Macaca mulatta: one gene and its partners. The protein of the gene in region 1 binds, or shares a complex with, the protein of each later gene. Links are inferred from orthologs where the notes say so. Each region holds a gene or a part of one and is shown on either strand. Other genes may lie near its edges. The genes, in order: PPIL2, RBM48, EFTUD2, SNRNP200, RNF113A, CRIPT and PLRG1.

The links.
Region 2: PPIL2 (region 1) and RBM48 share a complex: the UniProt entries of both Homo sapiens proteins name them as parts of the minor spliceosome. The link is inferred for Macaca mulatta from reciprocal best matches to the Homo sapiens genes PPIL2 and RBM48.
Region 3: PPIL2 (region 1) and EFTUD2 share a complex: the UniProt entries of both Homo sapiens proteins name them as parts of the minor spliceosome. The link is inferred for Macaca mulatta from reciprocal best matches to the Homo sapiens genes PPIL2 and EFTUD2.
Region 4: PPIL2 (region 1) and SNRNP200 share a complex: the UniProt entries of both Homo sapiens proteins name them as parts of the minor spliceosome. The link is inferred for Macaca mulatta from reciprocal best matches to the Homo sapiens genes PPIL2 and SNRNP200.
Region 5: PPIL2 (region 1) and RNF113A share a complex: the UniProt entries of both Homo sapiens proteins name them as parts of the minor spliceosome. The link is inferred for Macaca mulatta from reciprocal best matches to the Homo sapiens genes PPIL2 and RNF113A.
Region 6: PPIL2 (region 1) and CRIPT share a complex: the UniProt entries of both Homo sapiens proteins name them as parts of the minor spliceosome. The link is inferred for Macaca mulatta from reciprocal best matches to the Homo sapiens genes PPIL2 and CRIPT.
Region 7: PPIL2 (region 1) and PLRG1 share a complex: the UniProt entries of both Homo sapiens proteins name them as parts of the minor spliceosome. The link is inferred for Macaca mulatta from reciprocal best matches to the Homo sapiens genes PPIL2 and PLRG1.

Annotation. Positions count from the first base shown.
Region 1 is NC_133415.1:31,323,248-31,327,476, forward strand, and holds part of PPIL2 (RING-type E3 ubiquitin-protein ligase PPIL2), read right to left. Parts: intron 3,303-4,229; coding exon 3,253-3,302; intron 2,110-3,252; exon of another isoform or gene 1,731-2,109; coding exon 1,685-1,730; exon of another isoform or gene 1,320-1,684; coding exon of another isoform or gene 1,300-1,319; coding exon 1,237-1,299; exon of another isoform or gene 832-1,236; intron 525-831; exon of another isoform or gene 397-524; intron 1-396. UniProt on the Homo sapiens protein: Has a ubiquitin-protein ligase activity acting as an E3 ubiquitin protein ligase or as an ubiquitin-ubiquitin ligase promoting elongation of ubiquitin chains on substrates.
Region 2 is NC_133408.1:126,858,562-126,862,790, forward strand, and holds part of RBM48 (RNA-binding protein 48), read right to left. Parts: intron 3,443-4,229; coding exon 3,297-3,442; intron 1,141-3,296; coding exon 572-1,140; intron 1-571. UniProt on the Homo sapiens protein: As a component of the minor spliceosome, involved in the splicing of U12-type introns in pre-mRNAs.
Region 3 is NC_133421.1:69,232,056-69,235,787, forward strand, and holds part of EFTUD2 (116 kDa U5 small nuclear ribonucleoprotein component), read right to left. Parts: intron 2,918-3,732; coding exon 2,835-2,917; intron 1,741-2,834; coding exon 1,654-1,740; intron 1,418-1,653; coding exon 1,291-1,417; intron 1,092-1,290; coding exon 1,004-1,091; intron 384-1,003; coding exon 265-383; intron 139-264; coding exon 44-138; intron 1-43. UniProt on the Homo sapiens protein: Required for pre-mRNA splicing as component of the spliceosome, including pre-catalytic, catalytic and post-catalytic spliceosomal complexes. Component of the U5 snRNP and the U4/U6-U5 tri-snRNP complex, a building block of the spliceosome.
Region 4 is NC_133418.1:5,014,010-5,018,238, reverse strand, and holds part of SNRNP200 (U5 small nuclear ribonucleoprotein 200 kDa helicase), read left to right. Parts: intron 1-714; coding exon 715-823; intron 824-2,694; coding exon 2,695-2,803; intron 2,804-3,252; coding exon 3,253-3,442; intron 3,443-3,539; coding exon 3,540-3,704; intron 3,705-3,894; coding exon 3,895-4,016; intron 4,017-4,229. UniProt on the Homo sapiens protein: Catalyzes the ATP-dependent unwinding of U4/U6 RNA duplices, an essential step in the assembly of a catalytically active spliceosome. Plays a role in pre-mRNA splicing as a core component of precatalytic, catalytic and postcatalytic spliceosomal complexes.
Region 5 is NC_133426.1:126,364,247-126,368,164, forward strand, and holds RNF113A (E3 ubiquitin-protein ligase RNF113A), read right to left. Parts: upstream 2,410-3,918; 5' UTR 2,195-2,409; coding exon 1,160-2,194; 3' UTR 1,053-1,159; downstream 1-1,052. UniProt on the Homo sapiens protein: Required for pre-mRNA splicing as component of the spliceosome. As a component of the minor spliceosome, involved in the splicing of U12-type introns in pre-mRNAs. E3 ubiquitin-protein ligase that catalyzes the transfer of ubiquitin onto target proteins.
Region 6 is NC_133418.1:78,210,893-78,214,219, forward strand, and holds the end of CRIPT (cysteine-rich PDZ-binding protein), read right to left. Parts: intron 2,008-3,327; coding exon 1,904-2,007; intron 1,617-1,903; coding exon 1,552-1,616; 3' UTR 737-1,551; downstream 1-736. UniProt on the Homo sapiens protein: As a component of the minor spliceosome, involved in the splicing of U12-type introns in pre-mRNAs. Involved in the cytoskeletal anchoring of DLG4 in excitatory synapses.
Region 7 is NC_133410.1:163,143,087-163,147,762, forward strand, and holds the start of PLRG1 (pleiotropic regulator 1), read right to left. Parts: upstream 3,294-4,676; 5' UTR 3,220-3,293; coding exon 3,211-3,219; intron 1,832-3,210; coding exon 1,725-1,831; intron 747-1,724; coding exon 604-746; intron 1-603. UniProt on the Homo sapiens protein: Involved in pre-mRNA splicing as component of the spliceosome. Component of the PRP19-CDC5L complex that forms an integral part of the spliceosome and is required for activating pre-mRNA splicing.

The DNA of each region.
Region 1 (4,229 bases):
AGACATAAGCCACCACTCCCTGTCATAAATGTTGATACATCTGTACAATTAAATACTAAGCTAGCATCAAAAACTATACTTTCAAGCCAGGCACAGTGGCGTGTGCCTGAAATCTCAGCTACTCAGGAGGCTGAGGTGGAAGGGTTGCTTCAGCACAGGAATTCAAGAGTGTTGGGATTACAGGCATCAGCCACCGCCTCTACTAAAAATTTTAAAAATTAGGCCAGGAGTGGTGGCTCACACCTGTAATCCCAGCACTCTGGGAGGCCAACGTGGGCGGATAACAAGGTCAAGAAATCGAGACCATCCTGGCCAACATGGTGAAATCCTGTCTCTACTAAAAATACAAAAATTATCCAGGCGTGGTGGCACACACCTGTAGTCTCAGCTACTCAGGAGGCTGAGGCAGGAGAATCGCTTGAACCCGGGAGGCAGAGGTTGCAATGAGCCAAGACCGTGCCATCGCACTCCAGCCTGGCCTGGGTGACACAGTGAGACTCCGTCTTAAAAAAAAAAAAAAAAAAGCCGGGCGCGGTGGCTCAAGCCTGTAATCCCAGCACTTTGGGAGGCCGAGACGGGCGGATCACGAGGTCAGGAGATCGAGACCATCCTGGCTAACACGGTGAAACCCCGTCTCTACTAAAAAATACAAAAAACTAGCCGGGCGAGGTGGCGGGCGCTTGTAGTCCCAGCTACTCGGGAGGCTGAGGCAGGAGAATGGCGTAAACCCGGGAGGCGGAGCTTGCAGTGAGCTGAGGTCCGGCCACTGCACTCCAGCCTGGGTGACAGAGCGAGACTCCGTCTCAAAAAAAAAAAAAAAAAAAAAAAAAGGGACTGAAACATGAAAAAAATTACAGAAGCATATGCTGGAACGCAAAACTGGGCATAATGCTTCCAAATACTGCACACAAAAGGTACATGCCATAATTATGGCTCTGCTTTCATAAAGTAAAAAATATGCAGTTCATTACCATTCTAAAACAGATCACTGTGTCCAATTAGAACACTAGGACCCCCACATGGAGGGGTGTGGGGTGGTCTACCCCATTCCAGGCAGTGACAGCAGCACCTGACAACTAGAGCTGCCTGCCTAGGGGTCACAGCAGCACTGCTGCCATGTTCCCAAGGCCCTAGCTGTTACTTCTGTGTCCCCAAGAGCCCTACCCAAGGGTCCCCTTCCTTAATGGGTGTTGAGAATCTCACATTTGTTAGATCGAAATTCAAGGAAAAACTCACAGCAAATCAAAGACGACGCCATCTGGAGTACAGACTGGGTAGACGAAGGGCTGCAGAGAGAGACTGAAAAAGGACGGAGTCATTACTGGTGAGTTGCCAGGTACCCTGGTCAGGATGTGGGCTGGCTGAGCCTGGCATGGTGACCTCCTGAGATGCTGTCCCAGGGAGCCCTCTCCGGGCAGCCTGGCCACTTCCCTCTCTCACCAACCTTCTCCTCCAACTACAGTAGTGGTTGTGCCACCCCTGGTGAAGGACCAGAGCAGGATCCAACACCAAGGTAAGCTCCTACCATCATGGCGAGGACTTCGCATCTTCTCCCAACGTGAACTGAGGAGCCACATCTTCAAAGCACACTTTTACGCATAACCCCACATCCACAAGGGGCAGATTCACTATCAGAGCATCAGAGAACAATTCCAAGGGAAAGGTAAACTCACAAAACTCTTACCTGCAGTGGTCAAAAGGTAAACGACGAAAATTTGTTTGTGGGAGATCTGTTTAAAATGAAACAAAAAACAGAAATCTTACTCTGCAGTATTTCATCTATGTGTTTCAGTTACAGCATATGAAAAAGTTCATGGCTGGGCGCGGTGACTCATGCCTGTAATCCCAGCACTTTGGGAGGCCAAGATGGGCGGATCACGAGGTCAGGAGATCGAGACCATCCTGGCTAACACGGTGAAACCCCGTCTCTACTAAAAATACAAAAAAATAGCCGGGCATGGTGGCAGGCATCTGTAGTCCCAGCTACTCGGGAGGCTGAGGCAGGAGAATGGCATGAACCAGGGAGGCAGAGCTTGCAGTGAGCCGAGATTGCGCCACTGTACTCCAGCCTGGGTGACACAGCGATACTTTGTCTCAAAAAAAAAAAAAAAGAAAAGAAAAAAAAAGAAAAAGTTTGTGCAAATTTTTAAGTACAGCAATTGCTGTGGATTAAAAACCTTTTTTTTTTTTTTTTGAGACGGAGTCTCGCTCTGTCGCCCAGGCTGGAGTGCAGTGGCGCGATCTCGGCTCACTGCAAGCTCCGCCTCCTGGGTTTACGCCATTCTCCTGCCTCAGCCTCCTGAGTAGCTGGGACTACAGGCGCCCGCCACCGCGCCCGGCTAATTTTTTGTATTTTTAGTAGAGACAGGGTTTCACCATGGTCTCGATCTCCTGACCTTGTGATCCGCCCGCCTCGGCCTCCCAAAGTGCTGGGATTACAGGCGTGAGCCACCGCGCCCGGCCTTAAAAACCTTTTAATAGATATAAACCAAAACACTCGGGGTACATCGAAAAAGAACTTACAGGGAAAAGTGCGTACTTTTTTAGTCCCATTAAAATTATGACAGTGCTCTTGTTATTGTAGTCTTGATAGTTTTGACAGCTGAAAATATTATCATTCTTTTTATTCCTTATAAACTTTTTTTTTTTTTTTTTTTTTTTGAGACGGAGTCTCGCTCTGTCGCCCAGGCTGGAGTGCAGTGGCCGGGTCTCCTCCGCTCACTGCAAGCTCCGCCTCCCGGGTTTACGCCATTCTCCTGCCTCAGCCTCCCGAGTAGCTGGGACTACAGGTGTCCGCCACCTCGCCCGGCTAGTTTTTTTGTATTTTTTAGTAGAGACGGGGTTTCACCGTGTTAGCCAGGATGGTCTCGATCTCGTGACCTTGTGATCCGCCCATCTCGGCCTCCCAAAGTGCTGGGATTACAGGCTTAAGCCACCGCGCCCGGACTCCTTATAAACTTAATAGAGAAAAAACATTTAAATGTAGATGTAATTTTGTATTTTATTTACTTATTTTTTACTTAGCTCCCAGCATTGGGGAATATTTTAATCTACATTTTACAAAAACCACCACTAAGAAGAAGCATGTTCTTCTTTCTTGAATATATTTCTCTTTCGTGAACTGTCCTCGGCCCATTTGTCTACCACAGTTTCCGTGTTCTTGTTGTCTATTTTTACAGCTCACTGTATCCTGAAGACACTGTTCCTTAATACCACTCCCCCAACGGGGAACAGAAAGACCGCAAGCCTTACCTGGCTTCTTGCCACCATAAAAGTGAGTATATTCAGCACAAGTAATGTACCTGAAGAAGAGAGGAAGATAATGCTATGACCACCACCTTTATACAGAGAACAAAGTCTTTGGAAGTGAGTAATCTTTGCTTATTCCGCATATGCTTATTAAACACCTATAAGCATGGGACGGGCATGGTGGTTAATGCCTGTAATCCCAACACTTTGGGAGCCCGAGGTGGGTGAATCACTAGAGGTCAGGAGTTTGGGACAAGCCTGGCCAACAAGGTGAAACCGCGTCTCTACTAAAATTACAAAAATTCGCTGGGCGGCCGGGCGCGGTGGCTCAAGCCTGTAATCCTAGCACTTTGGGAGGCCAAGACGGGCAGATCACGAGGTCGGGAGATCGAGACCATCCTGGCTAACACGGTGAAACCCCGTTTCTACTAAAAAAATACGAAAAACTAGCCGGGCGACATGGCGGGCGCCTGTAGTCCCAGCTACTCGGGAGGCTGAGGCAGGAGAATGGCGTAAACCCGGGAGGCGGAGCTTGCAGTGAGCTGAGATCCGGCCACTGCACTGCACTCTAGCCTGGGCAGCAGAGTGAGACTCCGTCTCAAAAAAAAAAAAAAAAAAAAAAAAAAAAAAATTCGCTGGGCGTGATGGTGGGTGCTTGTAATCCCAGCTACTCAGGAGGCTGAGGCAGAGAATTGCTTGAACCTGGGAGGCAGACGTTGCAGTGAACCGAGATCGCACCACTATACTCCAGCCTGGGCGACAGAGTAAGACTTGTCTCAAAAAAAAAAAAAAAAAAAAAAAAAAAAAAAAAAAAAAAAGGATATAGTTTATTCTTTAGGCGTAGGGGTGGGTAACTTAACCAGGGAAGTTGTCTGGCATGACTATAGGTTCTATTTATAATTTGGTATCTTATTGCCACAAAGAGTCTGTTTCATCAATCTTATTTCTATTTCTTTATTTTTATTAAAAATTAGCCACCA
Region 2 (4,229 bases), on another chromosome or scaffold:
AGCTTGCAGTGACCATAGATCCTGAGCGACAGAGTGAGACTCTGTCTCCAAAAAATAAATAAATAAATAAATAAATAAATAAAATAAAGTCTACATTTGAAATGCATACCTAGAGGTCCAATTTTTAGAAATCTCACCTTCTATTGCTCTTTATCACAAAAGCAAATTAAGCATTTTACTTTGATATAAACTGTAATAACTCTAAATCTGAGAGAAATGGAATTTTCCTTCTCAACTTTGGCTCATATTAGAACTACTTGGGGAGCTTTTAACAAAAATGGCAGGCCTGGGCACCACTCTCACAGATTGATTTAATTAGCTGAAACCACTGCTTTAATATTTTGTATCTACAGTGATATAAAATGTCTGTTCATTGTTTAAAGCAAGTATTAACAGTTCAAAGCAAATAAAATGTTAGCCAAATTCAGTTATTTCAACAGAGAACTATAGAAAAACACATCAAAAAACTAAAAAGTGAAAAAAATTACAATACTATTGTTCCCACAAATAATTCCCCATTTAGTCCTATAACCAAATCGTCTCTTAGAACAGTTTTTAAAAATAACCTTACCTCTTTAAGTTTATTCCGAATTAAATTCGCAGTTGTATTCAATGAGTCATCGTGCATATCCACTTTAGACATGTCTGGTAACAGAGGTCCAATCATAACCTCATTACTACCTGAGTTTGTTTCAAGAAAAGTTCCAAGTTTACGATCATCTTCTCTTCTTCTTTTGCGCTCCTGCAGTTGTGTTGTCCTAGGCATAAATCTGTCAACTGCCTCTGAAGACGTAATAGCCTTTTGCGCACCAGGGTAGGCCACTGAGTTCTTAAAAGTGTTTATCTGTGTTTTCTGCAAAGAGTCATTGTGGTTATAATGCCCCATTGTTTTATGATGATTTCTACCATCCTTAGAGGAGTTTGATGCTCTGTCCACATGTCCCCCGGATGAACACATACATTTTGAGGAGAAATAACATAAAGGCAATTCACAGGAATACGGAAGATAAGGATTTGAGTTCCCTGCAGAAGTGTTCAAAGCAGCTTTACAAAAGCCAGACATCTCTGAGTGGAAGTCTTGTCTAAAATCCTCTCTGTCTTTATGCTCTGTAACCAATTTCTTCTTTGTCACGTTATGGTCTTTATATTACAATTTAAAAGTTGAGGGAAAGAGAAACATAAGTGGTTAATTTATTGTTTTCATCATTGAGAATCATATAATTTTTAAAAATCACTTAAAAACGTTAACAAATTATACTCCAAAAAAACTGTTTCTTGAGAAGGGAATATATTCACATGGTTTAAAACCTAAAACGGATAAAAAGATATACAGCATCAAGTGTCACCCTTTCCTTGCACTCCATGGGTCTGGTTTCATCCCCATAAGTAATCACTATTGTTTTTTATTTATCTGTTCAGTAAGTTTTACTTTGCCACCTTTCTCCCATTCTTTTTCTCCCCACTAAAAAAGGTAAATGTAATATCCATTTCTCTGCACCTCTGCATTTTCCATTTCACTGTAGATCTTATATAGGTTTTCCATCATTATACAGAAAGTTGTTTTTTTTGTTTTTTTTTTTTTTTAACAATTTCAGAGTATTCCACTATCTGGATGTATCATGCTCCTTAGCTTGTGTTTGTCAGTTACTAAAGAAAGCACTATGCTTGTCCCACTTCTAGGGCTGGCAAGGGCCTCTTCCCTGGTTTACTCTCCCAAAAGCAGTCTACAACATGGAGTGTGGAAGATGTGGTAAAGATGAAATTGGCTATGTGTTGATGATTGTTGATGTTAATATTAATACATGGGAGATGTATTAACTTAGTCTTTCTGCCTTTGTGTTTTGAAATTTCCAGGCCGGGCACAGTGCCTCACGCCTGTAATCCCAGCACTTTGGGAGGCTGAGGCAGGTGGATCACGAGGTCAGAAGATCAAGACCATCCTGGCTAACACGGCAAAACCCCGTCTTTACTAAATATACAAGAAATTAGCCGGGCGTGGTGGCAGGCGCCTGTAGTCCCAGCTACTCGGGAGGCTGAGGTAGGAGAATGGCGTGAACCTAGGAGGCGGAGCTTGCAGTGAGCAGAGATCACGCCACTGCCCTCCAGCCTGGGGGACAGAGCTAGACTCCGTTTCAAAATAATAATAATAATAACAATAACTTTCATAATAAGAGTTTTTGAAAAGTAAGACCAAGTATACAAATGCATCGCACAGATGCTAAAATGCTGATGAAAGACAGCTTAACTGAAGTGTCCAAGGCCAAGCAAGTCAGGTTTAATTCTGAGATCAGCAGCACGGCAAAAAGATCTTAAGAGGAAGGGGAGCAAATAATGAAGATAACCCTAGGCTGTCACACCAACACTGAGATAATTAAAGCAGTTAAAAAGTAAGCTCTGGAGAAAGAGTCCAAAGCTTGGGTTTTAATCCTTATTTTTGTCCTTAATTCATCTGTAATAATATAGGCCGGTCACAAACTTTCTGAGACTTAGTTTCCTCACCAAGAAAAATTAGGACACAGGTCAGATAATGTCAAAGGTCTTTCTCCACATTAATGTTTTATAATGTCCTTTGTCATACAAACACATTAAGTTTTCCTGGTGCTATTTATTTACTTATCTTACAAGTTAGACTTCAATGGATACAGATGACTGGGGATTCTCAACAGCTCTCTTGCCAGATTTCTGAGTAAGTTTTCCAAGAGTTTTCCCACTTTATTTCTCTCTACCACTATCTGGTAGAAGGGGCATATGGGGGCATTTAGTCAATTGCTGGTCAAAAGTAGAACTTCTCCATGATTAGCAGTGACAACTAGTCTGCAAATCATAACTGCTTCTCACTGCATTCTGGTCAAAGCCTTAATTCCTTAGCATGGGACACAAGGCCCTTCATGATTCACTTCTTATCCACTTTTCTAAACTTATCTCTCACTGAAACCTTTGAGCTTTGGTTATACTGTATTAACTAAATTTCCTTAAATGCATGATGCTCATTTATTCCTCTAAACACTTAAACATCCTGCCTGGCTTGCCTTTCCATCTTTTCCTCTCCCTTTTAGTTAATGTCTACTTATCCTTCAAATTTCAGCCACTTCTCACATACTGTAGGAAGTCTTCTATGAACCAACATTTCTCCCTTCTCAACCCAGATTATGTAGTGTGCTGAAGAGAACCCTTACAGTTACTGAATACTGTGATGCTTTACTTGCCTCTCCTCCCACTAGACTAGGAATTGCATGATGATACACCTGGCAGAGTACCTGACATACAGGAGGCATTTAGCAATATGCTTTCCATACCTTTATTTTCAGTAGTTTTTACTACATATGCCTTCCGCACTTGTAGTTTTTTTCTAGTTTCTTCAACTGTTTCAAATTCTGGCGCATAGCACACATGAAGCAATCCACCGAAGAAACTCTGTTCATCCATTTTTCTCTTGGCTGTCCTGAATGGAAATATAAGATAGCATGGTTTTTTAATCTAGATTTACTTGGGATGAAAGCTTAACTAGTATACAATATCTGGATCTAAAGAGCAAAGTCCAACTTTTGCTATGTGTATATATATCCTGTGGATTGGCAATTAAGATGCTCTGCTTGTGGACAGTATTCATCCCATTGTTCGAGTATGTACTTAGAGCCTCCCCTTTTCTTCCCTTCGAGCCTCTTTGTTCCCTAGTCTTTAAACAACTAAAGACCCAGCTGGTTGGCCTGAAGTATATAAACTGTGGTCATAAAATAGAGCTTTTCTCTGTGGCCCTGAAGAGTTACTTCATACCCAATTAAGCTTTTTCAGCACAATGTATTTCTGTAATGGGATTCTTGCCTTAAAAATCAGATGAAAAATACTATAATCATAAAACGTTCAATAACTGAGGAACTATTAAACATATAACAATGAGAAAATGAGAAGAATGTTATTCAGTCAATAAATACTTACTAAACATCTATGATTGGCCAGGTACTACAATAAATTTAACTACTTCTGTATCCAGGGATAATGACAAATACTTGCTCAGATTTTACCATATGCCAGGCAATGTTGTAAGTGCTTCACTTGAATTAACACCTAACAACAACCCTGTAATGAAACAGAAGCACTGGGACATTACATAACTTAGCCATGCTCATACTCTGGTTTGAGGAGCAAGGATTCAAATCCAGATGTCTTACTTCAGAGCCTACTAGACTAGGTACTTTGGAAAACAGAAAAGCTCGAGAAAATATTTCTCT
Region 3 (3,732 bases), on another chromosome or scaffold:
TCTCAGCACTCTTCCTAATATGCCTGGGGCTGGGGCTGCTCACCTGCGCCTGGCCAGGACAGTATAAACTGCAGAGACGCAATCTGCAGGGGCCTGGACCTCTACAAAGTAGTAAGGCTCCATCAGACGAGGAGTAGCCTGCAGCAGAGCAAGAAGAAAGGTCCCTCAGCTTAGGGAAGGCTGAGGGCCTATAGTCCCACTTGTTCCTTCACTTAGTCCACAGTCCAGCGAAGCAGATGGTCTCCTACAGCCCCATTCTCTTACCATGAGGAAGGCAGAGTAGACGACTCGCCTGGCTGTGGGGATGATCTGGCCCCCACCCCGGTGTAGGGGCTCCTGGGCAACCACTGCATCCAGGATCTTAAACTTGACGTTCCGAATCACTGTAAAGGAGGTGGAGGCAGTGACTGGGGAGAGGTTCTGGGCCTGTCACAGGGCCATGGTGGAGTAGCAGTCTCCTGCAACACTGCAGCTGTCTTGCAGTCATGAAAGACATGATACAAAAATCACATGGGAGGTGGGCGTTCTAACTGAATAAGCAAGGCCCATGGCAGAGGTCAGAAGTTAAGCATAGGTTCTTAGTGTTTGCTTCAGGCCATGCTCAGACATAGAGCTTTCCTAGAAGTTTATTTCTTTCTTCTGCACATATTTACATTTTTGTGGATGTAGAATTCCAGAATTGTACATTTGGTGCACGAAGCCCAATCAAGGTCTATTAACCACTCCAATCTCATCATCCTCTTGGTATCTCTTCTCAAATATGTCCAAGGCCAAACCCTTCTCAGAAATGAGGAGCAAATGACAGTTTAGAAATGACTTAAATTTCCAGGCTACACCACCAGGATAAGGAAGAAGGGAAGAAGCTGGCCCAGGACACGGGATGGTCCTGTGTACCCCAAGCTGCTTCTCCTGCCGGGTCCTAAAGATGGTGAGCCCATCCCACTCATATGCCTGGCTGCAAGGACCCTCGAGGACTGGGGTGGGGGAGTGCTGGTGGACTTACATTCATCACAGAGGGGGCCCTCCCTTGTTCCCCACTGGAAACCTTGAACGATGCTATCCTTCACTGAGCCAAGAAGAGCCTTGTCCACCTACAGAGAAACATGAGGCCTCCTTAGCAGTCACCCTGACAACAGCTGAAGCGTTTAGAGGGAGAAGATAGATGTGCCTGTAAGGGGATACTGTCCTTCATCAGAGGACACAAGATACTCTTGGGAAAAGAACACTTTGTAGTTTCTTCCACTCCAGAGGTAAGAGACTGCCACCCGGCTCCCATCAGTTCTGCTGTACCTCAGAGGGCAGAGTATCATCCACCAGAATGTTGGGGCCAGTCGCATCAGGGCCAAAAGCCCAGATGGAACGGGCAGCTAGTAGATCCCAATCGTACTTGGTCTGGAAGAACTCTCCCAGCTTCTTCCTGGGGAAAGGAGGGGGACAATGGAGCTGTCGGCCAGCTCTGTGATTGCTGGTCCTGGAGCCATAGACCCTCCCTTCCTGGAAGACAGTCACCTCATCCTACCCACTGTGCCCAGAACAAGAGCAACGGCAAAGACATAAATGCTTCCCAGAAAGATGTGTGCTCTTAGAGACCCGGCAGGTAAGCTGCGGCATCCCTGCCTCCTTTCGATCCTGGTGTCAGAGCCCTCCTCTCACCTGTTCCATGTAATCTGGACCACCTCATTCTCTATGTCCTCTGCCAGGCCCTTCTCAAGAGGCTCAGCAATCATGGTGATCTTGTTCCTGGTCAGAATGGAAATGGGTGGTAAGGACGGCTAACAGAACAGCAGAAGAGGCATTCCTAAGAAAAGGGTAACAAGATGGACAGTTGAGGAAGTAATATCGGTGAAAGCCACGGGGGCCAAGTGTGGTGGCTCAGACCTATAATCCCAGCACTTTGGGAGGCCAAGGCAGGAGGATCACTTAAACCCAGGAATTTGAGGCTGCAGTGAGCTATGGCTCACACCACAGCACTCCAATCTGGGTGATACAGCAACACACTGCCTCTTAAAAACAAACAGCTGGGCGTAGTGGCTCACGCCTGTAATCCCGGCATTTTGGGAGGCCAAGGTGGGGGGAACACTTGGGCCCAAGAGTCCAAGACCAGACTGGACAACAAAAAATAAAAAAATTAACAGATGGCATGGTGTATACCCACAGTCCTAGCTGCTGGACTGCTTCAGCCCAGCAAGTCGAGGCTGCACTCCAGCCTGTGTCAAAAAAAAAAAAACCCAAAAACCAAAAAGCGAGTAAGGTTTGGAGTAAACTTTTTTTTTTTTTTGAGACGGAGTCTCGCTCTGTCGCCCAGGCTGGAGTGCAGTGGCGCTATCTCGGCTCACTGCAAGCTCCGCCTCCCGGGTTCACGCCATTCTCCTGCCTCAGCCTCCCGAGTAGCTGGGACTACAGGCGCCCGCCACCTCGCCCGGCTAATTTTTTTGTATTTTTAGTAGAGACGGGGTTTCATTGTGTTAGCCAGGATGGTCTCGATCTCCTGACCTCGTGATCCGCCCGTCTCGGCCTCCCAAAGTGCTGGGATTACAGGCTTGAGCCACCGCGCCCGGCCTGGAGTAAACTTTTAAGATAGTTATTTTATAGAGGTGAAGTGGCAGTTATGAAACTCCTCTTGGGAATATCCAAGGTGAATAATCCCATGGCATTGCGTTCAAAGGCAGAAGGGCTGAGAGGGCTGGAGTGAAACTCAAGTATTGTAAGCACCCCCCATTCTGAGATGTAGGGGTCTCTGTGCACAGTGCTCATGGTGGGGGTGGAGGTGGAAGATAAAGGAGAGAGAGTGTCCTGGAGGCTGCAGTCCCGGGGACACTGTGCTCCCAGCTTACTTCTTATTAGGAGTTTCAGCAAAGCACTTGAGGGAGGATGTTTCCACCACCGTCTCACAAAACGTGACAACTGGGTCAGCCACCTGGGAAATAGAAAATAAATTACTGAAGCGAGGTCTAATTTTGTTGGAAGGGCAACCATTTACCTAAGGGAATTCAGAAGCTCCCCTTGACACTACCTCTGTGAAAATCCCAACTGCCTTAATCAGCACAAGTGACAAGTACAACAGCAGGTTAAAAGAGCTGTCCAAACCATCACCAAAAAGCCCGAGAAAATTTACTGTAGTAAAGAAATTAGATTCCTGAGCCAAGAATAAGTGGGATATCAAACTAGGGCCTTAATTCTAGTCTTCCAAGATAGCTCTCAGCATCCGTTTGGCTGTCCACCACCATTCACTGAACAACCCCCATGGGTCTGACAGAGCTGGTGCTAGAGACCCACTGGTGTGCACCCGTGCCATTCTCAACCCACAGCGTCTGAGTGAAGCTCTGCCCTGAAGCCCCAACATGGTCTGCTGCCCAGGAAACCTAGTGTTTTCTGCGACACCAGTGCTTCCTAGATACATCAGTAGAGGAGTCTAAGAGGAGTACCGAGGGTCTCCACAGGGCCTTGGAGAAAATACGTCTCAACTAGGACAAAGAGGCCAAGTAATATACGGTTTGAGGGGCTACATCAAGGCTTGACAAAGAATCCGGGAGAGACAGTTCCCACTCTCTCCTTGAAACCACCCACTCTGAGACCTAATCACCACCCATGGGTTAATTGTGCAATTACTTCCCTAACAAAGCACCAAGAATAACTTTGGCTTGGGAACTTTTATTGTTGAGACAGAGTCTCGCCCTATCACCCAGACTGGGGTGTAATGGTGCGATCTTGGCTCACTGCAACCTCTGCCAC
Region 4 (4,229 bases), on another chromosome or scaffold:
GACAGTACCAAGGGCGGGTTGTGCTAAACCATTCATGAGAACTCCGCCCCCGTGGGCCAGTTATCTCCCACCAGGTCCCTCCTCCAACACTGGGGACTACAGTTCGATGAGATTTGGTGGAGACACAGATCCAAACCATCTCACCAAGATCGTTAGACTTTAGAGATTAGCACACAGGAGAGCTCTGATTCTCCCTTGGGCACACTCTTGCTGGCCACTGTCCCTTGTTGACCTGTGGCATTTTGTGCAAAGATTTACCTTTTAACACTGCTTAATGGAGCCTCATTGGAGATCCTCCTGCCAGAATCACTTCCTGTTACTCTTTGGCCCTTGAATCTGCCTGTTTGGGGCATGCTTAGAGTGACCTCCGGTTTGCTGGCGTGGCTGAGCCAGCCCATGGCTGCGTGAGTGTTAGCACTTTCCGGTCAGAGGAGCAGTCCATCAGCAGTAGTTATGCCTTGGTGTTCCTGGGCTTTGGGTTCTGTTCTATGATGACTTGTTTTCTCCTGGATAGTCCCAGAGCAAGGCATCAGCAGCGTGGAGCTATCTCATAGCAATGTGTTACCTCTCATTCATGTTAGACCTTGTTCCTAGCCCGCCTTGCTGTGAGTTCTGAAACGTAACACAGGGTAAGCCACGGCCTGCCCATGAGGTAGTGAACCTGCTTCACCCAGAGACCCCTGTCCTCAGCCTTCTCTCCCCTTTTCTGCTCAGGGGCTATCCAGGTGGTGGTGGCTTCTCGGAGTCTCTGCTGGGGCATGAACGTGGCTGCCCACCTGGTAATCATCATGGACACCCAGTACTACAATGGCAAGATCCACGCGTGAGTACAGCTGGTGGTCTGTGTTAGCCCAGACCTTCCTAAAATGAGTGTGAATCTGCAGACACACAGAAAGCAAGCTAGGATGAAGGAAAGGTGTTAGGGAAGTTAACAGCTGAGATGCCACCAGAGCCAAGTATTTAGGAGTTTTGTGTCTCAATACCTAGGCTCACATTTGTTTTTTAGTCATTGTGCTTCCACATTCCGCAGTTGGGAGAGGTAGGCAGTTAGCGCCAGGAGGAATGTTTGACATTATGTCATTAACCTCAAACATCTTGTAGATTAGGAAAAGCGACTTGGTCAAGGTCATACACCTATATAGTGACAAGAAGCTAGAAGAGTGCTGAGCGCGGTGGCTCATGCCTGTAATCCCAGCACTTTGGGAGGCTGAGGCAGGCGGATTGACAAGAAGCTAGAAGAGTGCTGAGCGCGGTGGCTCATGCCTGTAATCCCAGCACTTTGGGAGGCTGAGGCAGGCGGATCACTTGAGGTCAGGAGTTCCAGACCAGCCTGGCCAACACGGTGAAACCCCGTCTCTACTAAAAGTATAAAAATTAGCTGAGCGTGGTGGCACGTGCTTGTGCTTCCAGCTACTCAGGAGGCTGAGGCAGGAGAATCAGTTGAACCTGGGAGGCAGAGGTTGCAGTGAGCCAAGATTGTGCCATTGCATTCTAGCCTGGGCAACAGAGTGAGATTCCATCTCAAAAAAAAAAAAAGGCCAGGTGTGGTGACACGCACCTGTAATCCCAGCTACTTGGGAGGCTGAGCAGGAGAATCGCTTGAACCCGGGAGGGGGAGGTTGCAGTGAGCCGAGCTCGCGCCAGTGCACTCCAGTCTGAGCAACAGAGCGAGACTCCATCTCAAAAAAAAAAAAAAAAAAGTTAGAAGAGTCAATCATTCTCAGAAAAACATCTGCTTTTTTTTTTTTTTTTTTTTTTTTTGAGACAATCTTGTTCTGTCATTTAGGCTGGAATGCAGTGGTATGATCTCGGCCCACTACAGCCTCTGCCTCCCAGGCTCAAGCAATCATCCTGCCTCAGTCTCCCAAGTAGCTGGGACTACCAGCATGTGCTGCCACTCTCAGCTAACTTTTGCTTTTTTTTTTTTTTTTTTTTTTTTTTGTATAGATGGGTTTTCACCGTGTTGCCCAGGCTGGTCTTGAACTCCTGAGCTCAAATGATTCACCCACCCAAAGTGCCGGGATTACAGGCGTGAGTTATGGTGCCTGGCCCAATGCTTAATAACTTTTTCCCGAAATGCGGATTAGTTTGAAGTGAATTTTATTTACGGGTTCATTTTTAATGTTTGAGGCTGCTTCTAGGTTGGGTTAAAGTCAGGTGACTTGATGACTCATGAAATGCACAGCTGTGAAGTTTGGAAAGTGCGGCGGTGCGCACCTGTGGTGGCTGAAGTGCGAGGATCCCTTGAGCCTAGGAGGTCAAGGCTGCAGTGAGCCGTGGCTGTGCCACTGCACTCCAGCATGGACAGTAGAGCAAGATGCTCTATCAAAAAACAAACAAACAAATAAATAAATAATTTTTTTAATTAAAGGAGAAAAGTTTGGGAAGTTTGACTTACATATTTGATCCTCGAATAGGGAGTTATTTTGGTTTTGGCATTAGATAGTTTTGTAGCTTGGTTCATGGCACTTGAGCAGCAAATTCATGGCCCTTACACTGAATGCTAAAATGATGTAGAGGCCAGCCAGTGAAGCCAGTTCTAAGTGCAGAGATTCATAAACAGAGTCGTGCTGTGATTTGACCACGCCTCCCCGTATTTACATTTTACTGTTAATTGGCGAAGGGAGTCGGGCCTCCTGAGCGTGGTCTCCGTGTTGAGGCGGCTTTTCCTTCTTTCCCCGCATCTGTCACCAGCTATGTGGATTACCCCATCTATGACGTGCTTCAGATGGTGGGTCACGCCAACCGCCCTTTGCAGGATGATGAGGGACGCTGCGTCATCATGTGTCAGGGCTCCAAGAAGGTCAGTCCTGGATTCATGCAGCCTCTTGGATCCGGAGCCTCAGAATGGATTCTTTAATCCTTTTGATAGACGTCTTCAGTAATTTTAGTCTCTTAACTTCTGCCTCTCTTATTTACACAATTCTTTTGTAACGAGCCTGCCACCCGTTTGGAATTTTGCTGCCTTTTGCCTTTGCTGCTGCCGTTGGCTCCATGTGTTGAGGGCTTTGCCCGCTAGTTGGTTCCCTCCTTCCTCACTGGGCTGCCCACTGCTCTGCCCTTGTGACTTGCTGTGCCTCTGTTCCCACTGCGTATTGTCGCCAGTGACGCACTTTCTAAACCTGTGGCTTCTTCCATTTTGGTATTAGTTAGGTCTCGCACGGGGACCATGCCCTGTTGATTTGCCCTTGGCCCTTTGTGACCATGTTGTCACTAATTCTTGATTAATGCTGCTGCTTCTCCAACCCACAGGATTTCTTCAAGAAGTTCTTATATGAGCCATTGCCAGTGGAGTCTCATCTGGACCACTGTATGCATGACCACTTCAATGCTGAGATCGTCACCAAGACCATTGAGAACAAGCAGGATGCTGTGGACTACCTCACCTGGACCTTTCTGTACCGCCGCATGACACAGAACCCCAATTACTACAACCTGCAGGGTCAGTGCGCTTGGGAGCACACGTGATTCTTTGGTGGTTCCCACAGCCTTTGCTGGGCATTTTCTCAAGGCTCCCCACTCACCTCTCACCTCCATAGGCATCTCCCATCGTCACTTGTCCGACCACTTGTCAGAGCTGGTGGAGCAGACCCTGAGTGACCTGGAGCAGTCCAAGTGCATCAGCATCGAGGACGAGATGGATGTGGCACCTCTGAACCTGGGCATGATCGCTGCCTACTATTACATCAACTACACCACCATTGGTGAGGCCCAGCACGGCCCGTGTCCTGTCTGTAGGAGCCTTCTCACACAGGAGTCAGGAGCCCACTGGGATGAGAGGTCTGCCCGTGTCTGTCAGCGGGATGACACTGCAGGGGAGAGCAGGGCAGCCCAGGCAGTTCTGCTCCTTCTCCGCTTGCTTTCGGCTTCTCTCAAATGTCCTTTTTCTGTCAGAGCTCTTCAGCATGTCCCTCAATGCCAAGACCAAGGTGCGAGGGCTCATCGAGATCATCTCCAATGCGGCAGAGTACGAGAACATTCCCATCCGGCACCATGAAGACAACCTGCTGAGGCAGGTGAGGACGGCAGCTTCAGGAGAACGTCCTGGGAACAACGAACTCTGCCTGTGTGCCCAGAGCACATGGCGTCCCTGCCACCAACACCCCCTTATGCATCCCCCGACCCCCACCATATGTCCTCCCCTCCATACCTCCCTCACACTCATCTCCATCCCACTGCCACCCACGTGCCTCGGGGTGTTGAAGGGCTGTGAGCCTGGGCCATGTGGT
Region 5 (3,918 bases), on another chromosome or scaffold:
TATTAAGTGCTTATTATATGCCAAGCACTAGGCTAGTCACCGAGTTCATAAACCAGTTGGAAAGACAGGTACATCCACTAATTTTAATAAGGTGTGATCAACACTATTACAGAGACTGTGAGAACACAGATAGTTTCAGGTAATGGATGATAAAATACTATGTTTTTGCCCTTTGCAGGTTCACAAGTTCAGTCTACAATAGCAATGTCCAATACAGTGGTCAGCCACATTTCAAGTACTCAACAGTCACATGAGGCTAGTGTCTATCACACTTGGATAGCTAAGCACAGATACTTTTATCATCCATGGAAGAGGGGGTTAACTATAGCTGCTTCCAAGACAGCAAGGGAGCCGGGTACGGTGGCTCACGCCTGTGATCCCAGCACTTTGGGAGGCCTAGGTGGGCGGATGCCGAGGTGGGCGGATCACGAGTTCAGGCGATGGAGACCATCCTGGCTAATATGGTGAAACCCCGTCTCTACTAAAAATACAAAAAATTAGCTGGGCGTGGTGGCAAGCGCCTGTAGTCTCAGCTACGCGGGAGGCTGAGGCAGGGGAATCGCTTGAACCCGGGAGGCGGAGGTTGCAGTGAGCTGAGATAGCGCCATTGCACTCCAGCCTGGACAACAGAGCGAGACTCCGTCTCAAAAATAAATAAATAAATAAATAAATAAATAAATAACCCAGACAGCAAGGAACATTTCCCATATGTGAAGCCTGTGGTACTAGCTACCAATTCCCCAAACGCAACCCCTCTCCCCAACACCTTGGCTCCGGTATATTTTGTAGTACAGGCTCCCAAGAGAAAGAATGCATGAAAGTACTTTGTAAACCATTAAGTGATACAGAAATGTGATATGATAAACAGGCTCAGAGTTCTTACTTTCGTCATAGCTTTGGCTACTTCAAGCAAATTATAGCTCTTTTCTCAAACTACTCCCACCCCTATAATTGATGCCAAAATGTTCTGAAAAGAAACACAGGCAAAATGGTTATCCTAGGGCTAAAAATCCTGATTATACCTACCTTGAGGTTTTTAATCCAGGACCCTACTTCACCACCCGCCTTCTCTGTCACTGTCTCTACAAAGGAAGGACACGAATTAAGACTTCCAAAAGAACAAAATATTTATTTTTTAAATTTAAGAATTATCAGACAGCTAAGTAACGGGAATTGGATCCTCATCGGGGTCTTCTGGCAAGTCGGAAGCACCACCACCCTCTCCTGTAGCTCGATGCTTCTCTAGTTTAGCAATCAATTCTTTCGCTGGATTGAAGACGCCATTGGTCTGCTGGTCACAGACATAGCAGCGCGGGGTGGTGCGGAAATGCTGCAGTGCACAGCTCTCGCAGAAATAATGCCTGCACTTGGTGACAACTGGGTTTTGGAAGCTCTGGCGACAGATGAAACACTTGAATGGTATTTCCTCATCATCGCTTCCCACTTCATAGTTTTCATCCTCATAGACACCATAGCGACCCTCATCAAGCTCACGTTCGATCTGCCACCCATGCTTGTAATCTGAACGGTCATGGAGGAATTTGCAGCTGTCTCCGAAGCCGCAGAAGCCAGTCTCTTTGTAGTCCTTACAGATGTCGGGCTGGTAATCCCAGCGCACCGTGGCACGTAGATGCTCGGGCGCTCGGATGGGGCCCTTCCTCACCATCCCGGAAGAGGCATTGCCCATAGACGTATCCTTGGGCTTCATGTATTTCTGATAATTGTTGATTCCCCGATAGATCTTGTCATCCTCCTTGCCCCTCAGCTCCTCCTGGATCTTCTGGCTGCGCTCAAAGATGGCTTGTGCATCGCGCTCTTTCTCTGTGTCCAGCTCATAGACAGCTGTCGCCCCCATATCCTCTGGTCCCACGGGTTTCGCCGAGCGGGTGGATTTATAAACCACGCCGAGACTCTCGGGCTCATTTTCCTCCTCCTCCTCGCTGCTCAAGTCGCCGTAAGCTGCCTTCTGTTTACCACTGTCACGAGTCTTCTGTATCATTGGATTGTGAGTCGCCCGCTTCTTTTCCGGTCGAACCACAGTGCAGCCTTCGTCGCTACTGCTGCCGCTGTCTCCGGGCTCTGGGTCGCAGGCCGGGCGCTTTCTGCGTCCAGCAGCCCCTTTCCGCCCAGGCTTTTTGAAAAGGAAGGTGCACACCTGATCCGCCGTCTTCCCTGGAGAAAACTGCTCTGCCATTTTAGAGTCCCGAGCTCCGAAACGGCCGTCGCTGCCTGGGTTGCACTTGGCCTCTGCGCGTTACTCCACGTCGCGCGCTCCGCCGGGAGTCGAAGCAAAAGACACTGACGGAAGAGAACTGCGAGAGCGCGAGCGCCAGCCTCTCTTGAGCCCTGGCAGATCCCGTCGCTTCCTCCGGAGCCGTACGTGGCACCGCCCCGCTCGCGGGCGGCCGCGGGGCTTACTGGGAAGGGAGCCGAAGCCCGGTCACCTTTCAAGGACCCAGAAGTAGGGTTTTGGCCTAGATAACGGGGCAGAGATGTGGTTCGAGATTCTCCCCGGACTCGCCGCCATGGGCGTGTGCTTGTTTATTCCAGGACTGGCTACTGCGTACATCCAGAGGTTCACTAACGGGGGCAAGGTAAGGCGGCTTCCTGGGCCCGGGGGCTGACTCCACTGGCTGATTTCTGAAAAGGATGGTGGGCAGAGAGTCCGTCAGCCTGCGGACCCTCTCTCCGAGGCCGGCCCTCTATTTTCTTCCGGTTGCCTAGAAGCCGAGGCTTGCGAAACGAAGCGCGGTAGAAACCACATCCTGCTCTGGTGAAAAACAGCGTTTCTGGGTGTATCAAAGTGGGCCTTAGGGCAGAGTAGCGACGCGGGGGCCGGAAAGGTAGATTAGAAGAGGTGGCTCAAGCCTGAGAATCCCTCACTGCAACCTCCGCCTTCCGGGTTCAAGAGATTCTCCTGGCTGGGCGCGGTGGCTCACGCCTGTAATCCCAGCACTTTGGGAGACCGAGGCGGGCGGATCACCTGAGGTCGGGAGTTCGATACCAGCCTGACCAACATGGGGAAACCCCATCTCTACTAAAAATACAAAATTAGTGGAGCGTGGTGGCGCATGCCTGTGATCCCAGCTACTCGGGAGGCTGAGGCAGGAGAATCGCTTGAACCCAGGAGGCGGAGGTTGCAGTGAGCCGAGATCGCGACACTGCACTCCAGCCTGGGCAACAAGGGCGAAACTCCGTCTCAAAAAAAAAAAAAAAAAAAAAAAAAGATTTTCCTGCCTCACCCTCCTGAGTAGCCGGGACCACGCCCGGCTATTTATTTATTTATTTTGGTAGAGACGGGGTTTCATCATGTTGGCGAGGCTGGTCCCGAACTTCTGACCTCAGGTGATCCACCCGCCTTGACCTCCCAAAGTGCTGGGATTACAGGCGTGAGCCGCCGCTCCCGGCCACCCTTGACTTTTTTATTCCCCACTTTCTCTTGCAAGCGTTTAGGAATTTACTGCAAGGTCTTGTGTTTTACATCAGGATTCATTTTCCCCTCTTAGCCCTTCACATCATCTCTAGAGTACAGAGTATAAATTTATTTACTTTTTGAATTTGTGATTGTCCACGTGTGATCTACAGCTGTTGTTTCTTAGTGTCCCAAAAGGCAACAACTAGATATTTCTTTTTTTTTTCTTTTTTTTAAAAAGGAAAAGAAATTCATGTTGGTTAAAATAGTGTAAGAAGTCACGGTCACCAACTTAATCCTAAAGTGTAGTGGTCTGATTTTATTTAGGAGATTCTGTTCTTGTACTACTAATTTGCATTTTTATTTGAATGATGATTCCATTTCTCTAGAATGTCCCTTCTAAAAATTGTAATATCCATCAACTGGGTCACTCACTTTTATAAACTGCAACAATAATTGTCTCTTATTTGAAGGAAAAAAGGATTGCTCATTTTGGGTATCACTGG
Region 6 (3,327 bases), on another chromosome or scaffold:
TGTTATAATTTTAATTAAAATTAAAATTATAATCAATTAATCAAACTGATTAAGCATGAGAGGATACTTCCTGCTCTCAGATGAATTATTATATTTTGCATTATCCTTATAATCTTTGTGGATATGAATAACAAGGTATCTCAAAAAAACACATTTTGAAAAGCCTTATAAAGTTAAAACTTTAAATGCTTTTCATCAAAATTTTATGACCAATAAAAATGCCATTCATAAATCTTATCACACTATCTATTCTACACATTTTATAGTGATACGTATTTATACATACTGCAGTTGGAAATGGGGAATGCTTTTTTGGTCTCCCATGGTAGCCTGCAGATTTTAAAAGCAGAAGTCCTGAACCTCTGAAGGCAACATAAGAAAAGTACTCATTTGAAACCTGTAGTATAAAAAAAAAAAAAAGAGAGAGAGAGAGAGGCCAAGTGCTGTGACTCACACCTGTAACCCAGCACTTTGGAAGGCTGAGGCCAGAGGATTGCTTGAGATCAGGAGTTTGAGAACAGCTTGGGCAACATAGCGAGTCCTCGTCTCTACTAAAAATAAAAACTAGCTGAGCTCACTGGCACACACCTGTAGCCCCCAGCTACTTAGGAGGGTAAGGTGGAAGGATTGCTTGAGCCCAGCAGATGGAGGCTGCAGAGAGCTTGATGATACCTCTGCACTCCAGCCTGGTCAACAGAGTGAGATCCTGTATCAAACAAACAAACAAACAAACAAATTTTAAAAAGGGAGAGTCAAGATGTTTGCTTTATTTATTTCTTTTAGGGAGGGAGACAGGAGGTAAAAAAACAAAAAGTTTGGTTTTTGCTTCAAAGAGCTTTTCTCAAAGAGCAGGGATTTATGTTCATTACATGCAACATGGACAAACACTGTTCTGGTTTTCATGACAATTTGAATTCAAAGTAATAAGTTTTTCTAAAATTCAGTGTGTTTATTTGGATATATGGATATTCCTTGTGTTCCTGGTCACATATTAAAGGAACTGGCACTTTGGCGGCAAGAACAAATAAAAACTGGTCTTTGATTTGGGTCTAGGTTAATAACTAAAGAACCATTCAGCAATAATGGCTTGAAACATTTATACATCCTATGAAACTGCAATTAGTTAAGAGGCTGCTGATCCTAATAACTATGACACGAGTAAGGGAGTTAGGGGAGAACTGTTAACTCTGGATGCCAAATTCAGAGCAAAATATCTATTACCTCCTTCTCACTTTTGCAGTATCTATAAATAAAGTGTGTGTGGGGGAGAATTACATGAATAATGTTTAAAGTGCATACAGAACTGAGAAATTTTTCATGGAATTTGCCACTTAGTTCAATAAAATGCTCATAAGGAAAAAACCATTTACGGCAAAAGACTAGTTACACTGTTGCTGTTTAGAGCATGAGAGCAAAATGAATAACAATCAAATTCTCTGGTTTAAACGTAATTGTCTTAAAACACGTTATTCTGTAAGTTGACATCTATGCCTTGAAAATTCAAGGCAGAAAGTAAAATCATTTAGAAAGTCAGAAATTCCATCAATACATCTAGACAGATGTTTGCTTGTAGTTTTTGGTATCCAAAACCTTTTTTCCACACATCGCACAGATGCCTGAAACAAAAGAAGATACGTGATCAATCAAATCATAATACCAACTGTTTGGTTTAAGTCAATCCTGAAGCTTAAAATATAATTTAACAGCATCAGAAGAGAAAAAAAAAAATATATATATATATATATACTTTTAATTATAAACAGGTTTTACGTCCCATTTTGCCTTAGGATAAAGAGTGTTTGGTTAACAGAATTTATGACAGGCTACATCGTTTCTGTTAACCAAATTAGCAGCAAATGAAGTAGGTTTTATGAATAGAAAAAAGGTATTAAAAGAAACTTACCTTTTTTGTAGGCACAGCCCTGGCAGTAATGAGAACCTGGTTGGTGCACAGAACTTTTACAAATTCTGCAAGTGGAGAACTTATTCTTTCCATATGGATCAAATCTAGAAATTTTTTTTAATGAGAGAAAATTGTATATTACACTAGAAACACACTCTTAAATAACCCCACTTACGCAACACACAGGATTAATCCATGCTCTTCATCCCTCCATCAACCTCTACAATTGATGGGTTTAGCCTATTCCAGATGGCTACTGTCTGATATGCCTGTACATCTCTGCTCTGCTCCGTCCATGTGAGATATATACTTATAGTCAGTTGTACAGAATTTATTCTTGACGTGTTCGTATCAATTGTATCTGTCATTCTATTTGTGTGACAAAAATATTATGGAAACTGATGAAATGTCGGTGCAAAAAGAGTGACTGATTCCATAAAACCTAAGTGACTACTTTAGGACGACCAGGAATAATCGGAATTGCTATTGAATTAGGTATGGGTAAGACAACTGTTGACAACTGGGGGAAAATCACTAGGAAAGGACTCCATACCTCAAGCATCAATTTTTGCTCCACTTTAAAGATACTGAACATATTCTGATTGTGATTTTTGTGACGACAATCATGTAGAGCACTTATCAGTTGATTTATGCTCAAAAGGCTTTGTTTCAATACCATATGATTAATACATCTACAGTTATGTGCTTTAAGTTAAAATAAGGTATGTGTATCTTTTAATGACTGCTTACATTAGCTGACATTTTTAATTAACTGACTCAATCCTTTTAGATAAAAGGGCTTCTACTATATAAAAATGCCATCTTACAGTAACTGGAGTGAAAAAAAGAAATACTTCCCCCTAAAATGGCAATAATACTCTGCTTTAACTGTGCTTCCCTAACTACAAAATGAGTTTTTGTAATGATCCTCATATACCAGATACGAAACACTGTCCTAGACCTAGTGTCTCCTCTTGGGTATAGCATAACAGCCCATTTACAAAGATTTTTCCAAACCATAGAGAATATCACTTTTTTTTTTTTTTTTTTTTTTTTTGGAGATGGAATCTCACTCTATCGCCCAGGCTACAGGGCAATGGCGTGATCTTGGCTCACCGCAACCTCTGCCTCCCAGGTGCAAGCGATTCTCCTGTCTCGGCCTCCCAAGTAGCTGGGATTACAGGCATGCACCAACACGCCCAGCTAATTTTGTATTTTTAGTAGAGACGGGGTTTCTCCATGTTGGTCAGGCTGGTCTCAAACTCCCGACCTCAGGTGATCCGCCTGCGTTGGCCTCCCAAAGTGCTGGGATTACAGGGTGTGAGCCATCGCGCCCAGCTGAGAATATCACTTTATTCCCCACAAACGAAGACAGGTACTCTTCTTCCTTTCAATAAGTTCAATTTGCTTGGACACGTATTTCT
Region 7 (4,676 bases), on another chromosome or scaffold:
ATAAAAGTTATCATCTCTTTAAAGTATCAAATAATATTACATTTTCAACTGGATCTATCACATTTTCTCAACTAAAGTTAAGCCTCAGAAATAAGGGAAATTGGTCACTTTTGATCTCTGTAAACCATGTCCTTGTCCATTTGCTATATAGCAATGGTATACAAAGAAGCCCTCCTATCAAGTGATAATCCACTCTGGTATTTCTTCCAAGCAAATTTCCTGTGGAAGCTTGAATTCTCTTCATTTATTAAGATTTCAGTATTTAATTTCATCTTTCTGAATTACAGACAGGATAGATGGTATCCCCACAGGTTAAGAATATTCTCCAATTTTTTCCTTTAATCTCTACTGTGACCTTCTCCACATTCTAAGAATCTCTGCCATCATTATACTACCATTTTTATTTCCTATAAGAAAAAAGTCATCAACCAATGTCTCAGTATTCCCACGAGGATAAAAACTTCCATTATAATACTGGTACAGCCATTAAATACTGTATGACCACACCTAAGTCCTGCCAGCAGGGGCAAAAATAACACATTTTATTTTTCTATTTTTAAAATTCACACATACGTCTGACATTTCTGATAATACCATACTCACCTTGATTGGCAGGGTACTGTTTATGAACATATGAATCCGTTGCATTCTGAGGACCCTTCTCTTTAAGATTTTCTTTCAAAGTAGGCATATGCAACACAGGACCATACTCATTACGAAGCTTGATTGCCATCTTCCGTTTGTGACTATTTAGAAATTATAAACATAAGAACGTATCCATAAATACTTTAAAACAAACACTTAGACAGCTTAAGTTTGCCCAATCATGTAGGAAAAGTTTCTAGTAAGATTTTAAGTAGTATTTAAAAGAATCAAAAATTTCCAAGTGCATTTCCCCACCATATCTGTTCTTTTGCTCACATTCCACCACACAGCATTCATTAAACCTAAGTAATATTTTAGTTTGTTACCTAATAGAAAATATTTTATGATAAATTATCAAGGGTCTGCTTGAAAGATATATAGAAACTAACATACCCTTTAAGAAACCTCAAAGTCAATACGCTTTCCTTCAAAATATAAATATAGTAAAAACTCTATAGCAACCTTTACTAGATGTATCCAAACAGGTTAGTTAGAACTAAGAAAAGTACTTAATTGGTTCAATATTTTAAAAAGAAATGCACTTATATTACTTTTAAAAATAGTCTACTTTACAAATTAAATATAAATGCTTGTTTGAGGAGTTAAGTCGATTTTAAAAGGGTAAAGGACAAAGAAGGAACACTGCACATAATGCAATCCCAGACTGGAGCTGGATATGTAGAACCAAAAATATGCCACCACTCAAAAATCTTCATCATACTAACGAGAAAAGATGGGAGTAGAGGTACCGGCCAGGTACAATTTCAGCTCAGCAAGGCTCTGAGAGCAGCGGGAAGCTGAAAGCACATACAAAGTGATTGATTATAAAATAAAATACCTAAAAGGGACTCTCTTATTTACTGGGTATTTGTAAAATGCAATTAATTAATGGAACTTTTACTGTAAAAGGCCAAAAAAAAAAAAGTTAAATCAGCTTAAATTATGCCAAAACACCACTCATTATTGAATTAGCCCATGAGTATTGCCAGTTTATCTTTAAAGGTCTCCCTCTTCCTGCTCTCTTCCCCCAGTATTAGAATGTTAAATATTTCAGCAATTGAAAAAAAAACTATACCAACCTCTCTTCATCTAAAGGCACAGGTTTTCCATTATCAGCTACAAACATGTCATGGGTCCTCTTCAATGACCTGAACACAAGTGTGTGTACAGAATGTTTCTGTACCTCCTAAAAAAAAAAAAAAAAAGTAATTACACACCTATCTACAAATTACACAAATCATAACCTAACGTCAGATTGATTATACACTTCACATGTTTAAATATGTAAAAAGCTTTATACCACTCACCATAGCTACTTGTTGCGAGCTACAGGAGTCAAGTTCAGAGAAGAGGAGGAAGCTCCTCTTTGGCTAGAACCTCAGGTATAGCAACTGAGTGATGCCATAGTTTAGTCATTTACTCAATAAATATTTACTGAGCTCCTACTGTGTGTCTGGCAGGTATCGTGCTAGACTCTCACAATAGAATGATAAAAGGTAGTCATGGTCCCTGTGCTCAAGAGGAAACAGACAAATAAAAAGTAAAATAATTCCACATTTTGATAAGTGCTATGAGGGCAACAAGCAAGGCACTGGGTCAGGAAACGAAGGACTAAGTATAATTGTGAAAGACTTCACTAAAGTGATATTTAAGCAGAAAGGGAGTTAGCCTTGCACAAAACAGAGATAAAAACGAACCAGGCTGATGGAAATGTCATGTAAAAAAATGTCATGTAAAAAAATTATTAACTGAAATAATACAAGAAGGGCGGCACAGCTGTATATGGTGGATGAGATGGTGCTTTGTGGTTGCAAGGGTAGACAAGGTCCAGATTAGGTAAGGTATTTTAGACTATTACAACAGCCTATGTTTTCTTCTAGCAACACAGTCAGTAAAGGGTTTTAAACAAGAAAGGTATGAACAACTTACATTTTAAACAGAACAACTTATGGAACAAAATGGAAGCAAGGAAATCAACGGGGAGCTAATGCACCAGGCCCGGTGAAAGATGATGTTGGTCTCAATTAAGGTGGACTGCAGTGGATACGGAGAAAAGTGAACGGAATCAATAAACATGGGGGGTAACATGGATAAGACCAGCTAACAGAATGGCTGGCTGTTCATGCCAGGGAAAGATGTAAAGAATGGCAAGTTTTTCTGGGAGTAGAGTTGAAATAAGAGACGACTTGAACGCAAGATAGAGAAGACCGCCAATCTTTTCGGGCACAGAATCACTGACACTGCCCCGAGGGCGGCGAGTACCAGTGGTCGAACACCAACAGAGGCCCCGCCTCCAAGGACAGTTTCCAGCTCCCAAGAGTCAAACGAGGACTGGACGAATTATCTCAGGCTTAGCGCCCGGACTGAACCTCCGACTCGGGTTCTCATCCGGCTTCTACCCCTTCCCCGAAAACCCGATGAAGAGACCACCCGGCCTTGGCCAAACAGCTTCCCTCGTAGCCTCTTTTCTCTCCGGACTCCAAGCACTCTCAATCCCCCACGCCCACTGCCAAAGAAAAACAGTCCAGAGACAAACGACTCTTGAGAGTCCCAGTGTCACTTTACCTCGACCATGATGCTACCGCGTATCCCACCTCCGGCAGGGAAGAAACCCTAATCACTAACGCAGTACCCGCCGCCACAACTGTGCTGCACCTTCCGGAATTGGGAGGCCAGGCGGCGGATGTGATGCAAGCTCTGCGCACGCGCGCTAGTCTCCCCCGGCCCTCTGGGATCAAGAGGCGGGTCTCCCTCCTCAGGACCGCCCCTAGGGCGGAGGCTCGAGGCTGTAGAGGGGAGACACCTGGAAGCGCCTGACTGGAGGATTTCACTCGCTCCTCTGAAGAAGTCTTCGAATTATGTTTTCTGCCTTACCTTCAGCCTTCAATGTCTTGGCTGGGGCCCTGGTTGTTCATGCTGTATTCCCCGGAGTTTAATGCTTTTTATTCAGAGAGCCTAAGCGTCTGGAGAGCAAACTCCCGTGGGCTCTATCTAAGGCGCTTCCGCTGCCTTGATCTCTTTGGAGGTCGCCTGCTTGCTTTCTGTCTCCTGGTTCCAATCCTGGCGAGAAGCACTTGGACACTTGTAGGCTTAACACCTGAAAACAATTTCTCTTAAACAGTTCAGTAAACACTTGCTGAGTGAATGTTGAGGAATGGCTGTTTTAATTTGGAAAATTTTGACATGTAGATATAAGAAAAACCCATATTCATTTTCTGCTAATAGATTTTTTTTTTTTTTTTAACTTCTCAACGCTACATAGCTCTTGGCCATTTCCTAGTTGTCTGCTGATTATTGTGGCTTCAACAATGCCAGGGTACAGCTTTTCAAAGCTGGTAGAAGAAAGACACAATTGGAGACTTTAGCCATTTTTATTTATACATATCCTTGTGCCAAGTATTGGTATTTTTGCTTCCTACCCTGGTAAAATCTCCGGTTTTGATCAACCCTACCTAATTATTTTTCTATGTAAAAAGAAAAATGGATGGACTTGGGCATTTGCAAACTTAAATAGACAAAACATTTTACTGGCCCTGTTTCAGTTTCACTGATCTGTCCTGACAGCGTACTGCATACACTTTGAGAGGGGGAAACAATCTAGCAAAAGAATAGCAGTGTAAATCAACGTCACTTGGAAATTCATTAAAAACATTAAGGTCATGGTTTTTTGTTTGTTTGAGAGGGAGTTTTGTTCTTGTCGCCCAGGCTGGAGGGCCATGGCGCAATCTTGGCTCACTGCAACCTCCTCCTCCCGGGTTCAAGCGAGTCTCCTGCCTCAGCCTCCGGAGTAGCTGGGATTACAGGCGCCCGCCACCACGCCCGGCTAATTTTTGTATTTTTAGTAGAGGCGGGGTTTCACCATGTTGGCCAGGCTGGTCTTAAACTCCTGACCTCAGGTGATCTGCCCCTCTCGGCCTCCCAAACTGCAGGAATTACAGGCATGGGACCCCGCGCCCGGCCTTAAGGTCATGTTTTTGCTTGAAGATAAAACATCCCTGAATTTGACTGTGAGTTTGTCCTAAGAACTGATT